Linked DNA regions of Lytechinus pictus. The protein of the gene in region 2 binds, or shares a complex with, the protein of the main gene of each other region. Links are inferred from orthologs where the notes say so. Each region holds a gene or a part of one and is shown on either strand. Other genes may lie near its edges.

What was found. Proteins that work in one complex are often made in the same cells at the same time.
Region 1: ubiquinone biosynthesis protein COQ4 homolog, mitochondrial-like (region 2) and 5-demethoxyubiquinone hydroxylase, mitochondrial-like share a complex: the UniProt entries of both Caenorhabditis elegans proteins name them as parts of the multi-subunit COQ enzyme complex. The link is inferred for Lytechinus pictus from reciprocal best matches to the Caenorhabditis elegans genes coq-4 and clk-1.

Annotation. Positions count from the first base shown.
Region 1 is NC_087254.1:33,609,408-33,617,370, reverse strand, and holds the start of 5-demethoxyubiquinone hydroxylase, mitochondrial-like, read right to left. Parts: upstream 3,074-7,963; 5' UTR 3,023-3,073; intron 1-3,022. UniProt on the Caenorhabditis elegans protein: Catalyzes the hydroxylation of the 5-methoxy-2-methyl-3-(all-trans-polyprenyl)benzoquinone at the C6 position and participates in the biosynthesis of ubiquinone.
Region 2 is NC_087259.1:10,557,895-10,565,438, reverse strand, and holds the start of ubiquinone biosynthesis protein COQ4 homolog, mitochondrial-like, read right to left. Parts: upstream 3,042-7,544; 5' UTR 2,963-3,041; coding exon 2,839-2,962; intron 270-2,838; coding exon 111-269; intron 1-110. Other genes in the region: exosome complex component RRP4-like, read left to right, coding at 5,452-5,564. UniProt on the Caenorhabditis elegans protein: Lyase that catalyzes the C1-decarboxylation of 4-hydroxy-3-methoxy-5-(all-trans-polyprenyl)benzoic acid into 2-methoxy-6-(all-trans-polyprenyl)phenol during ubiquinone biosynthesis.

The DNA.
Region 1 (7,963 bases), on a different chromosome or scaffold from region 2:
CTCATTTCAATCATGATCTGTTTTGAGTGAAATTAGTTTGTGTATTGCAGTGTAGATATCATAAGGTTAAATTTGGTTCAATTCTGGATGCAGGAACCTCTGTTCCTCTACGTCTAGCTCACTGTGACGTCTAAAGAATTGGCGCGGTCCGGGGGAGGAACCTTATAATCAAATTTAAATTATGCATTACGCCACCAAAAGTAAATCCTCTTTTCAAATTGTAATACATCCTTAGACTCCAATACAAGCTCGGGAAGACTATTCCATAAGTTACAGATTCTCAATGTAAAAAAAGTTCTTATGTGTATTCTTGTTTAATAGCTTTCATCTTGAAAAGCATGTGCACATGACCCATTGTACTGGTAAAAGAATTAAGTTGCAGACATGGGGTAACATCAGGGTCATATTTGTGGAGAATGTCTCTATCATGTCACTCCTAGCTGGTCTATAAACAAGAGTAGGTCATCTCTGCACATTCTCAAGTGCATCAATATGTTTTACTTTGTATGGATTCCACACAGCATGGCCATACTCTAGATGAAGCCGAACCACAGCCTTCAAAAGTCTCTTAAACATATCTTCATCCAGAAAAAAAAGACCTCCCTACCAAGCCTGCTAGCCTGTTAGCTTTTGAAACAATTTTCTGTGCGTGATCATCAAATGAAAGTACGCCATCTATTTCTATGTCCAGGTCCTTCATCAAATCAACATGCTCTAGATTACACTTACAGTGGCGGTCTTTGAGTGTAATTACACTCTAATCTACGCCCGGGCCCAGATCAATAGAGTGACCAAGCCAGAACAATAGCAGAACAATTGTTCTAGCTCGAGTGTAATCTCTACCTTTCTTTAAATGATATGATATCAAAATTTATTAAGGTAAAAATTTGAACAAATATCTGTGGATTTTGTACAATGGTGCTTGAAAGTCTGACTACTCTGGCAGCTTTTTTCAACCTTATAGCTTTCATCTTGAAAAGCATGTGCACATGACCCCTTTTCTGGTAAAAGAATTAAGTTGCAGACATGGGGCAACATCAGGGTCATATTTGTGAAGAATATTAAAGGTCTCTATCATGTCACTCCTAGCTCGTCTATAAACAAGAGTAGGCAAATATAGCTTCTTTAGTCTCTCAGGATGAGAGCCCTTTCAAAGATGGGACGCAGCGAGTAGCTTGTCTCTGCACATTCTCAAGTGCATCAAGGTGTTTTACTTTGTATGGATTCCACACAGCATGGCCATACTCTAGAATCTTGATGAGGCCAAACCAAAGCCTTAAAAAGACTCTAAAACATATCTTCATCGATAAAAACAAATGACCTCCTTACCAAGCCTGCTAGCCTGTTAGCTTTTGAAACAATTTTCTGTATATGAGCATCAAATGAAAGTACGCCATCTATTTCTATGCCCATCAAATGAAAGTACGCCATCTATTTCTATGCCCAGGTCCTAAGTTCATCGAATCAACATTTACACTTGAATCTACACTCGGGCCCAGAACAATAGAGTGACCAAGCCAGAACGATAGTAGAACAATGGATTCACTGGACCATTTCCTTTGTTCTAGCTCGAGTGTAATCTCTGGTGCTCAAAGATTGCTGACTGGGTCTGTATATAGGCCTACAACGCTACCTTTCTTTAAATGATACGATATCAAAATTTATATCTATAAAGGTAAAATTTTGAACAAATATCTGTGGATTTTGTACAATGGTGCTTGAAAGTCTGATTTACTCTGGCAGCTTTTTTAAACCTTATTGAGATCCCAATGTCCCCTAGTCTATTAATTAATGATTATCTTAAGACAGTGCATATATATCTGTGTGTGGCTGTGTGGAAGGCTTGTGTTCTCACCTACGCTTAAACCAGTTTAATGTGGCAAAGTGAGAGGTGATTTTCCAAGGACCAAGCTGGTTTGGAAGATCGCCTTCCACTTTCGATACCACTTTGACTCTTTGAGAGTGCGTACACATCCGGCAATAGTACACATTAAATTGGTTTCCACTTAACTTATTTAAAGGTCAAATCAACCCCAGGAAAATGTTGATTTGAATCAACAGAGAAAAATCAGACAAGCATAATGCTGAAAATTTCACCGAAATTGGATGTAAAATAAGAAAGTTATGACATTCTAAAGTTTCCCTTATTTTTCAAAAAATAGTTATACTAGAGCGATGCACAATTTAGTCACATCACATGCAATTGAGAGAGTCGATGATGTCCCTCACTCACTATTTCAATTGGTGAGGGACATCATCGACTCTCTCAAGTCTCATTGCATGAGACTATATTGTTGTAGTAGCGATGTAGTAGCGATGTACCCCTCCCCCAATCTATAATTGTGACGTCACCGGCCATGCTGCGGTGGATTTGACTAGTTATATGGCTGACTGGCAGAACTTGAACTTGGACAACGCTCCTCAGAAGTCATATTTTGCCTGGTGAGTTTGTTGATCCCACCCCTATTTATTTACATAATTCTAATCATCGAGCAGTGGTGTTCATTAACTGACCCCAGCTGCTTTATTGTAAAGAACAAGCATGACAAAAAAGTCAAAAGAAATAGTTCTGTATTTCTTTTGACGTTTTGTCATACTTGTTCTTTTTTGTTTGAATTATACAATATTTCATTTTTTTGCAGATTTGACAATAAGGACCAAGACTGAACCATAAAATGTTAAAGAATGGTAATTCCACATGTTCAGGGAGCCTTTGGTAAGTAGACGATAGACTCTAGTCTAATCACCACCCGCACTGGATTGGTATCAGCGGCCTCGCCACTCATCCGTACGCCGTTTCTAACGGGCTAGCTACTACTGCTACCGGTACCGGTACTGCGAGTGCGAAGACGGAAGGTTTGGCTGCCGGCTGGTACTCGACTCGTCTCGGACAATCGACAATTAATCGGACTTTATGAGGTAATGACTTTCGTCTTAAACCGTGAAAAATATCTACATAATTTTATTTTTCATTTCTTTAAATATGAACAATACAAGAATATAAAAACAAGCAACAACATACCGAATAAATTAGAGTCTCGCCGCTCCCTCGTCCGGTCTTGTAATGATTACAAAATTCTATTATGTAAGATAGACTGTACGCATGCGCAAATTAAGAGGGTATTCCCCTTGCTCAAACTTCAGAGGCGGCAGAAATTAGCCCCCGCCCCCCCCAAAAAAAAGTTTGACCCCGGTTTATTTCCAATTCGTCTAATGCCAATTCGTCCAATTGCCAACTCGTCTACTACCATTTGGTCCATCATCAGTTCGTCTACTCACCACATGGTCTACTTTCATTTAGTCTATAATGCCATTCCGTCTAATAACAATTAGTTGGTCCAATAGCCATTTAGTCCATATACTATTTGGTCTAATTAAACTTAAGTGTTCATTGTGCAAAATGAATGATAAGAAAATGGGTATTAGACCAACTGGTTACGAAATGGTAATAGACGAAATGGTGATTAGACGGAGTGATGATTGGAGCAAATGGTTATTAGACCAAATGGTTGTTAGACGAAATGTTGATGGACGGAATGGCATTAGACTAAATGAAGGTAAACCATGTGGTGAGTGGACGAGTTGGCCGGCATTAGGCGAATTGGCAATGCCCAAATTGCCCCGTATGCCTTTACATGAAAATGAGAAAGGCATCAATTTTTTTTCCAAGTCACCATTCTGTCTTTACCATCCCCCTACCATCCTCATTCCCATTCAAGGGCCCCGTCTTACAAAGAGTTACGAATGATCCAATCAATCGCAACTATGGAGAGCAAGTAAAGTAAATAAAATGCATGTTTGCCCCCCAAAAAATCTAGATATGAATGTATATCCATAAATTAATTGATTTCTTGACAGTTCGGTGTGTTCTCGTTTGTTTACAAAGAACATTTTGCACATTTCCTGTAGAAAAAATGACACTGATGGATTTCCATAGAGTTACGATTGATCGGATCAATCGCAACTATGGACGGCCAGCAACGTCAACAACTATTATGCATGTTTTTTCAAAATATTTTCTAGCTATGATGTATATTCATGCATTCATTGTTTTATTGAAAATTCACTGCGCTTCGTTTTGCATACAAAGGACACTGTGCAAATTCTTCATAGAAAAAATTATGACACTGATGGATTTCCATAGAGTTACGATTGATCGGATCAATCGTAACTCTTTGTAAGACGGGGCCCTGGTGTCCGTCTTACAAAGAGTTGCGATTGATCCGATCAACCTCACCTGTATGGAAATCCATTGATGTCACAATTTTTTCAACAAAATCTTTGCATAATGTCCTTTGAATAACAAAGATAATTAAGCCACTTTCAAGTTTCAAGAAATCAAAGAATGTATGAATTTACGGCATATCAAGAGCAAACATGCATTGTTGATGTTGCTGGCTTTCCATAGTTTTGGTTGATCGGATCAATCGCAACTCTTATATGGGGTCCAGATTTCCAGTATTGTGGAACCAACGTTGAGGCAATCGATGATGCAGAGACCGATACAGTTTTAGGTTTACTGTTCCCTTCATCATAGGAGTCTATTATGAATGGGATATTCTACAGTTTTCATGTTTGTATCTTATGAGTTTATGTTTCGACCCCAACTAAAAAAGAAAGAAAGAAGAGAAATAGGCCCTACGTGATATGTTTTCACCGATTTTATAACGGAATACATTGTATAATGTTTATCACAACAACTTCGAGTCTTATAGGATTCACCTGAAGGCATATTCCTCAATGGTGTCCACTTTTCATGTGGTTTTATTTGCATTATTTTGATGCGCACCCTCATAGCAAGAGGGGGGGGGGGGGTAAAAAGATATTGCCACCGTTCAGATCGGTCGCCAAAGAGGTAAAAGCTCTGACGGATGTGGATGAGTGGGTTATAAAGACTGATATGCGATGCGTGAACCGAATTTTATTCTTATATACACTGAAATTATAAGGACTGTCAAATCATGCTTTAGCGAAGCGCCAGCTGATTTTTTTTTAGATGCCGACCTAAAACATGTAAAAACAGGACGTTTTAAACCCCTATAGAACAAAAAGGGATGCATATCTCAAAAGTAACAGGGACTCTCGAGTGGGATTATTATTCAAATAATGCAAGCGATAAGCGGTGGTTGATTTAAAAATAATAATAATCCGACCTGAGAAAATGGGTCAATATAGGGCTATACGATTATCGTGAATGTGAAGCGCGAGCTGAAAATGTTTGATATAAGCCGACATGAATAATGGCATTTATTTAAACAGGAATTCGTGAAGAAAATGAGGCCCATCTTACAACAGGTTATACGTGACGTAGGCAACTAGTTCGTCCAGCATGTCCAGAGCAAGCGGCATTTCTTTTTTTCGAAAAACAAAATCCAAATTCTAATCCTAAAACTTTCGACAGTCAGAGTTCTGATACGTATGGAAAAGGGAATTCTTTCCCTCGAAGAGATTTCGTTTGTTCATGGTCCATATAGTGTCGAAGAGAAAGTGGCCGTCGTAAAATTTCCCAAAGAATTTCTTTTTATCATCGCTTAAAGAGAACATGAACAAATAGGGTTATATCCTTCCTCACAGCCATGATCAAACACAAGATCTCACAAGTCGTGTTAATTCAATTCAATTGATTTCAACCAATCAGCAAATTTGTTTTGAATCTGCAATATATTTGATAGCATGAATAACATTTGTTTATTCAGATAACATCGATAACTACAATGTTAGAAATCATAATAATTAAATCAATGATGAATCATTAAAAGTATGAATATGACTTCAATTCAAGTCAATTCAATCGTTTTTATTGTCCACTTCCAATACAATTATTTCACAGTTGATATAATAGCATATTACATTTGGAGTATACATACAAGATTAACATAATTACAATAGACAATTATCAAAATAAAATATGAATTGAGAGGGAATGATGACCAACTGAAAAGCATGCAGAGCTTGTACATTAAAGCAATAAAGCAAACTCTTATGTTTTATTGTTTATACTGAAATGTATTTTTGTATTATTTGCCGAATAAGTTATAATAATAATAATGACAATAATGATAATAATAATAATAATAATAATAATGATAATAGTAATAACAAGAATGATAATAGTAATAATAATAACGATAATAATAATGATAATGATGATAATAATAATGATGCTGATAATAATAATAACTCTCAATGCGAATCACAAAGAGATTATCGAATGGCGAGATGTAAACAATCATTACGAGATCCCAAAACTTGTCAGCTGGAGAGTGTTTCACCATTTTTTTTTGTCCGACAAGTTGTCAGATCTTATTACTTCCCTTGATTTGATTGGCTGAGAAGCACTGTTACTATGGTAACTGTCGGGACTCGTCAGTTAAACATCGGTCCTTTCATGAAACGCTCCCCCGATCACTCTGTTCTAAGAAAAAACGATGTAGACATGACGCGATCAAAGCCAAAGCTCTATACTGCATCTCTTCTATCGTAACTATGGATTCTTCAAATTCAATCAAGATGTCCAAACCACAGATCTCGGTTCTCGTCATGTCTACATTCTAAAGAAGAAATGATCAGCTGACAAGATCTCGGATTTCGACATATCTACATTCTGAAGAAGAGATCGAAGATCAGCTGACAAGATCTCAAATCTCGTTGTACCAATTAACATAGGCCTACAGAGATGATGAGATTACAAGATCTCGGATTTCATTACCATTTTGTCATATAACTCATGAATTCATGTTGACATGAGAACCGACCGAGCTCTCATCATGTCTACACTCTGAAGAAGAGAATGATATCAGGTGACAATATCATGGATCTCAGCAGCTTGTCATCTAATCATCTGCTCTTATATCAACTGACAAGTTCTTCTATGTCGTAGTTTTTACATCTTGACATTAAATGATTATCTCTTCTAATAACATGACAAGATCGGAGTTTTGGCTACATAATTTGGATTGGGTTTGTACGTTACTAGAATGTCACATTTTTGAGCAATTTTGGGTCACGGGGGCCACTTACATTGACGTGTGGATACCATGCGCGACCAACAAAAAAAACACGTAAAAAGGATGTCGATAGGGCACGTTACGAACGTATACATAATAAGGGTGTCAAAAATACTAAAATAATGACAAAGGGTATCTATTTCGCTAGGAAAGCTACGTGTTTAGGGTCAAATTTGTGAGGGTAAAAAGACTAAAAAATAAAGGATGTACTTCTTGCCCCAACAGTTAACACTATACGTGCTTAGAGTCCGACTTGCGCGAGGTGGGGCCGTATATGATGTAGGTAAAGGTAAAACCGACGTCCGTGATATATAGAAATTAAAATATCATTGTACTTGTTAAGGGGTTCATTTCAGGGAATACTTGTCAAGGGTATCGTTTTGTTTCCAATACTTGTTAAGGGTAGGGTTTCACACGCCAATACTTTTTAAGGGGTGCATTTTCAGAATATGGAAAATACTTGTTTAGGGTGCTTTCGAGACCCCATGGTTGCGCATGGTATCCACTCGTCAATTAAGTGTCCCCCGGGTTTTGGGTCTAACATGCACTTACAAAATACGTTATTTCGGAACCATGTACCCTCGCGTCGCGAATTCGATCTTAAAAGTTGCGCGAGACTTAAAGATAAACAGTCATGAAACGTCGCGGCGCGATCTTTTCGCGTTACAGATTTATTATTTTGGTAAAGATGTCGAGGGGGAGGCAAGAAACATCTTCATGCAGGGCTGGATAGCGTTAAACGAGCTATCCAGATGTCTAATATCAGGATCTCGATCGTCTTTTCTACATTCTGGACAATTAGAGCTTATCAGCTGAAAATATCTTTCCGTTATGGCAGTTGGCGATATGTTGAAGAGTATGATCAGAACGATTTCAAAGTCTCGCATCTCATCATCTCGTCTTCTACTCATTCGTTCTAATGTATGTTGACATGAGATCCGAGAACTCGCCGCCAT
Region 2 (7,544 bases):
AGTCTGATTACTGCTACAATCATTCACATCAATGAAACAGACTCCAAACCGACCAATGATTTGTACTTCTTTTGTCGGTGTGGAGTCGGTTTGAGTGTGGCAGAACTCACCATGTCTGTACGGGTCATATAGAGACATGAACGCAGAGCCTGCCGTCAGTAGCACCTTCTGTAATGGAGTAGTGGGAGTGTGCTGTTCGTACAGTAAACCATCAACGTTTGGATCACTTCTCTGGCCATGGCTGCCACCAAGTGGTGTACCTGGAAAAACTGATAAGGAGAGAAAACAAAAATCCCGACAACTTTTCAACAAATTTTTTTTTTAAAGGTTGTCAAAGAAGAAAGTCCCTGCCAAGAAGTTGACACCCAAGGCGGCAACCAAGATGCCAGTAGCCAAGAAAGTGAAGGTTTTGAACCCAAAGAAACATCTGACAGGAACTACAGTGCTTCTATCTTTGTAATAAGTTACTGGTTATTAGGCCTACTGGTTATACAGCGTTCCTACATATCATATGGTAAAAAATCATTGAAATGTATTTTTTTTCCGAAAATTGGAAATGGTTTTTATTGTACCTTCGATTTATATCAATAGACAAATCATTTCACCCCTGTTCCTAAAAAAACAAAAAATATCACGAAACATTAAGAAAAATTAAATTTATGCATTTTATCTTACATAACATATGGGACAGCTGCTTATATATCACATCACATATCCAAAACTTAAAGGTCAAGTCCACCCTAGAAAAAAGTTGATTTGAAAAATAGAGAAAAATAAAAAAAGTACAATACTGAAAATATCATCAAAATCGGATGTAAAATACGAAAGTTATGACATTTTAAATTTTTGCTTATTTTTCACAAAACAGTTTTATCTATGCACAACTCGGTGATATGCAAATGAATGAGACAATGATGTACCTCACTCACTATAACTATTTCTTTTATTTTTTGTTTGAATTTAATTCTATACAATATTTCAATTTCTACAGATTTGACAATAAGGGCCAACTTGACTGAACCATAAAAGGATTTTTTTTAAATGAAATGTGCATATATGTGCAGGGATGAATGCCACTTTGTTTCATTGGAAAATAATGAGAAAATTAGAATATTTCAGATAATAAAAAATACAAAAGAAATAGTGAGTGGATGACATCATAGGTCATCTCATTTGCATACCGACCATGATATGCATATAACTATTTTGTGAAATTAAGCAAGACTTCAAAATATTAAAGACAATTCCACCCCAACAAAGAATTGATTTGAATAAAAAGAGAAAAATCTAACAAGCGTAACACTGAAAATTTCATCAAAATCTGATGTAAAATACGAAAGTCATGACATTTTAAAGTTTTGCTTAATTTCACAAAAAAGTTATATGCACATCTGGTTGGTATCCAAATGAGGGAACCAATGACATCTGTCACTCACTATTTCTTTTGTATTTTCTTATACGAAATAACAAAAATATTCCTATTTTCTCCTCATTGTCCTGCGAAACAAAGTTTTATTCCTCACTGAACATGGGGAATTACCATTGTTTAACATTTTATTGTTTAGTCAAGTTGGTCCTTATTGTCAAATCTGTAAAAATTGAAATATCGTATAATTCAAACAATAAAAAACAAAAGAAATAGCGAGGGACAACATTGATTCTTTCATTTGCATGTGACTAAATTAATTGTGCAAAATTGTGATGAAATTTCCAGCATTATGATAAATCTGATTTTCCTCTATTGATTTAAAATTTAAATCAACATTTTTTTTTTGAGGTGGACTTTCTTATTTTACATCCGATGATGAAATTTTGCCGATTTGATTTGATTTGCCGAATTTCAATCTCGTCCACTCCTTCGATCGAATGATGAGGTGTGGTGTATTGTGGGTGACCGTCGACGGCTAGTTCTCAAGGTACCCGTGCGCGAGGTTTACCGTGATTAGAGCCGTCGATCGGCAGCGCATCGATAGAACTTGATGAGCGTCACGATACGAACGCGAGCATATTATTATTGGAAAGTGCCATGGAACATGCAGCTAACAAGACAAAATAAAATAAGTTATCAAACACGAATTTATTACCAACATCTGCTCAGATTCGATATAAAAAAAAGCAAATAATACTTAGAATTTACTCATGATATGATATAAGAAGAAAAAAATCAAAAAAATTTGTTCTTACATCATTAGAATCAAGGATATCTTTGCCCGTCCGGCGCGCGTCCGGAATCATGATGTAATTTGTCGCGCATGAAAATAATTGTTTTTCGTGGAGGGGTATGCGGCAAGTGCGATGCAAAGAAAATGGTTGGTAAATATAAAATAATTTTATCATATTCATAATTTTCATAATATTTGGAATAGCAAGTGTGAAAATTTCTTGATTGTATTTCCTCTAGTTGTCATTTTTAAAGCACTGAAATAAAGGTGTCCGGTAATAGGATACACTGCCATACTAGAGTAGACCGACTGAAAAGGGGAACAGCAATAGTTACTCTTTTGCACCTTGCCCTTTGTCTATGTTTTCAGTTTGTTTTGTTTCTGCTTCATTTTTTTTTTTACTTTGTTTCCCTTATCTGCATATCAAATATGAATTCGTATGTTTTAAAGATTCAGAAAATAAAATCATTTTGGATTGGATTGAAATTGATTGAACGTTCACCGGGCCCACGCTTTTGTCCGCAAACGCACCAGCCGAAGGCGAGGCGCTAAGCAATAATTCGGCGCGAGCTTGCCGAGTAAGCTCGCGCTCAGAGAGCGGGCGAGCACAATCGGGGCCGGGGACGCGGCGGGCAGCAGCCGCGGCAGTAGGCCGTTGGCGTTGCGCGTTACTTACCCTTTCGCTGATTTTGATGTAAATTTCGAAAGATACTCCAAGTGCAATTCCTATTTTTCTTCATCCGCGTCGTCCTACTGAACCTATTGAACACAGTAGGTCTATTACAAATTGTCAAGGCCATTTATGTTTTAATAGTATGTGTTTGATGAGTGACATTCATTAAACGGACTCCAGTCTCAGTAAACTCGAAAGGTACCGGTATACAACTAAAGTTATCGATTAATATAGAGCTGTATGTAGCTCATCATTGCGCAATAACGTTTACAAGTCAAGTACTGTATGATACCATGGACCTACTAGCTAGTAGGTCCATGATGATACCAAACTTACCAATCAACCATAGAGATGTATACTAATTACGTTATTAGTATATATCTCTATGCAATCAACAGAGATAATTATATACTAATATCAAGTACCACACAATTAAAAGCAACGGGGGCCGGGAATAAAATAAATCAATTCACTTTTGAAAATAAAGGATAAGATCAAGATGGCTTTATTTCATTTTTCAATAGTAGTAGCAGGCCTACTCATGAGGAGTTTGGATTTAGGGGTCAACTTGAACATATATGCATGCAGCAGCGCTGCCCCTAGTAAATAAAAATAATAATACAAATGCCTTTCTCCAAAATCCTCCAGAAATTTAATTTTAAATGGAAACAAAAGCCTTGCAAAACATTATCGTTTTTTCCAGTTTATATATTGTCATATCTAAAACTTCACTAGGTGATATAATCATGCATAACAGGGGCGGCGATCCTGGGGGTGTGGGGGGCACGTGTACCCCCCCCCCCCCCACTTTTTGAAGCACTGAAAGTGTCCTTTTTACGCACGAAAATGCCCCCTCACGAACGTGTTCTGTGCCCCTTTCACCTGAGGAGGACCCGTTTTAGGTGCAGTGCCCTTTCTCGTATAAGTGCCAATCAATTTTTTAAAGCAAAAATGCACCCCCTTGAACGTGTTCTGTGATCCTTTCACCTTAATAGAAAGACCCGTTTTATGTGCGAGAAAGTGCCCTTGCTTATGTCCCTTGACTATATGGCCCGTTTTATGTGTGAGCAATTAAGTGCCCGGCCCTAGAAATGCCTTCTTGTAAGTGCCCTATCTCGTATCAGTGCCCCATGCACACAAACATGTTCTGTACTGCCCCTTTCACATGAGATGGATTTTAGTTAACGATCGATTGCCCCTTTGAAACAAGAAAACTATTCTAATTTTTGTTTATATGTATATGTTTATATACAAAACTTGTAAGGATAATCCTACGTGCCTTAAGCTATGTGAGTGGCAGTGGCGTAACAGGCGGGGGCAGGGGGCGTATACAGGCCCGGGGACGGAGGGGGGGGGGGGTCTTGGGTCCACACCCAATAGGAAATAAAAGAAATGATATGATACAACGTATTATGAAATGAATGGAAGCAATGAAATGTGTTATTTGCTGAATATAATGGAAAAATCGCAGCTTCTTATAAATTAACGTGATATATCTAGCCCCCTCAAAAATGTTGCCCCATTAGGCTGTAGATGAATCATTTTTATTTGTTTTAAGAGAAAAGAAAAGGTGCCTTTTTCCCCTGTGCCCCCTATAACTTTGCTCCACCACCCCTAGTGCATAAGCAAAGAGATAATTCATTTTTGTTTTCATTCAAGAAGTTAATTCATTCGGTCTTTCATATTTTCGAATAAGTCAATTGAATCAAACTAATAAACAAATAGATTATGAAAGCAAAACAAATAAAAAAAACTTAAAAATGAAGTCAAGCAGTATAGGTGCGACGCCCCTCAAATTTCTCAATTGATGAATAATGGACGTATAGCTAAATAAAACATTAAAGGGGAGAGGGGCCTGGGCTGGGACCGATTTTCTATAAGAGGGGTTCTGCTTCTATATTAAGAAAAAATTGACAAGCAAAAAACAAAACAAGAAACAAAATGACTGTAAAAAAACGCTGTTTAAAATTGAAAGCACTTTGTTTAAGCCCGTCACTCTAACAACCACTGTTTAAACTTTCTAAACAAGTTTTGTTAAAAAGTTTCAACAATTAACTTGTTTTTAGAGTGACTGACAGGCTTAAAGAATTAACGTGGTTTTTTTTGTAAGAATGAAGGTGAATTTGGTCAAACCTATTGTGATTATCGCTTATTATGTGTCAATTTGGTAATAGAAGCCTAATGATATACATTATACCATACCAACTAAATTTACAGAAGTGCTGCAATAATAGTGTAGCACGACTCATATATACTGTTCTCCCCTGTTCTTTGGCCCAAAGAGACTTTGGCAAGCATTAATCAATCAAAATAGGGGGGAAATCCATTTGAAATCTTCACAGCGAGATAAAATTTACTTAAAACCTAACTGAAATTTATGGAATCGCATTGACATTTCTGTTGATTTATTTCACTTATTTTACTTGAGCATGATTGACAATAAATTTGAATAGTTTTGACTTGACATCCACACTTCAGACGAAATGACTCCTATTCGCGATTGAAAGATACCAATTTGCTGCTGTCATATTAAAATTGTCTGCATGTTCAGTTGACTAGCTCAGTTAGTTAGGCCAGTACGTTTGACCTATTTGTGCACGAAAGTTGGGAAGGAAAATGGCAATATCCATCACCGCTCCTCGTGAAAGACGAGTTTGTGATGAATTTACAGAACCTCAACGATTAGTAACACCAGGAGCAACCATTACAGCCGACACAGATTTTATGAGGTGATGAATTAATGGACCAGTAGTAGCGACGGGAACGGCCATGACGGCATTCCCGTGCCCGTGGGTGGCCGCCGCGCTGGGCCATGTGGGGGCATGGCAAAAGTCGAAGTTCCACCGCCGGCGCAGCGGCGGAGTTCAACTTCAAGAGTAGACTAGAGCCTGAATGTGGCGAATACGCGTCGTGGACTTGTCTTGCCTTGGGGAACGGGTGTTTTTGTTTTGTTTTGTTTTTATTCTCTTTTTTTAGCCAAATATTTAAAGCAAGGCAGAAGTTTGGACGTAAGACTTTGTTTCTGAACTCGCATGACCATGTTCAATCTTCAAAATGCTACCCAACATGCCCAATTTTGATAATGATTGTAAATTAGTATTTTTCATTTTTTGTCAAAACAAATTGTGATCCATTATGATTCACCATTGTCATTGATTGGAAGAAAAAAAAATAGCCAAGCCTGTTCAAAGACATAGCAACATAATCAGTGTAATTATGTGTAACTGCACATACCCGGCCCTGAATTTGTCCAACAACAGTTCATTTGAATAAAAAGAATAAACTAGGGACTAGCTTCTAACATAATCTAAGACTAAGTTCAGAAAATAATATGGTTAGGTAGGACAACGAAAAAAACAAAATGGCATTTCTACTAAAAAAGCATTACCTATTAGCATCATTGTCAAAGACATTGCTCAAAACTTACCATAAAATTTCCTACATAGTGAAAAATAAGGCTTAATAGTTAAATGCCCTATAAAATGTGTCTGGAAATGCATTTTGGCCCATCCCCATATTAGTTTAGCCTAGGCTATAAGCTGTGTGGGCTAGTGGCTGAAAATTGGCATTTTTAAGTCTTTATGCTGACCTAGACTGTTTGAGCCTCTGTGAGCTGCCATGGAAACATGTCACATTGATAGATAAACCACTTGGCTACCAGAAAATGTGAAGATGTTGCTACCAACGTTCTCGCCAGTGTAGAACACACGCGTCGCATGCGACACACGTAAATTCCACAAGCTCTATATGCGTCACGTGCAAAACGCGAGCGACACAGGCAAAAAAATAAATTAAAAAAAATTTTAAAAAATCATAAAAAGTGGGGAAAAGTCATCGGAAATAATTGTTGCATCATTCATCATCAATCCTCAAAAGTAAAGGATGTTTCAGAATCATTTCGGCAACAGACAAACTACGATGTTATTATTGATGACCGGAAAATATCCATGCGTAGAAACTGGCGCATTTCCACTTCCAGCCGGCCGGCGAGCCAGCCAGCCAAGCCTGAGCAGCCACACTAGCGTTGCCAGCGCGCCTAGCTGAGCCGGACATGCATGCTACAATGTATGTTAGAACTGAATTGTCCGCGGTGCGACCTGGGTCCGACGTAGCCTTTCATTTTTACATGATACCGTTTTCTGATAGTTTTCAAGAAATTTTTATCATAAAATGAATTGTTCCTCATAATTTTCCCGCTAATTACTTTCTAAGTAATATTCTTAACGTTCATTCTCAATTTCTCATGTCATCTGCTGTCATGTCACAAGTTACTCACAATGAGTGTTGGCTAGCTTGCTGGAAATGGGGCTTAGGGCGACACGTGTGTGCATGAATTTGTCAAAGGAGAAAAACAAGATCCCGGGCGCGGGAGCGAGATGTAAAGTTAATGTTATTTGTTTGACGGCTAATTGCTTGTTTTTAACGTTTATTTTTCATTCTTTCATCTAAAACAGACTATAATTTATTGTATTGTTTTTTACATGTGTGTACAGTTTCTTCTATTGATTAATAATCTAGTGGCGGGGGGGGGGGGGGCATGAGACCGCATGATCGACACATCGATTAGAAATATCTAAAAATAGATTTTTTAGGTATTTCTAATCGATATGTCATGCCAATGTGTATTTGGAAAATCTCTTTTTCATGTTGATATTTGACACTGGAAAAAATAAATATGTTGAATTTATTGTAGAATTAGTTTTTATTCT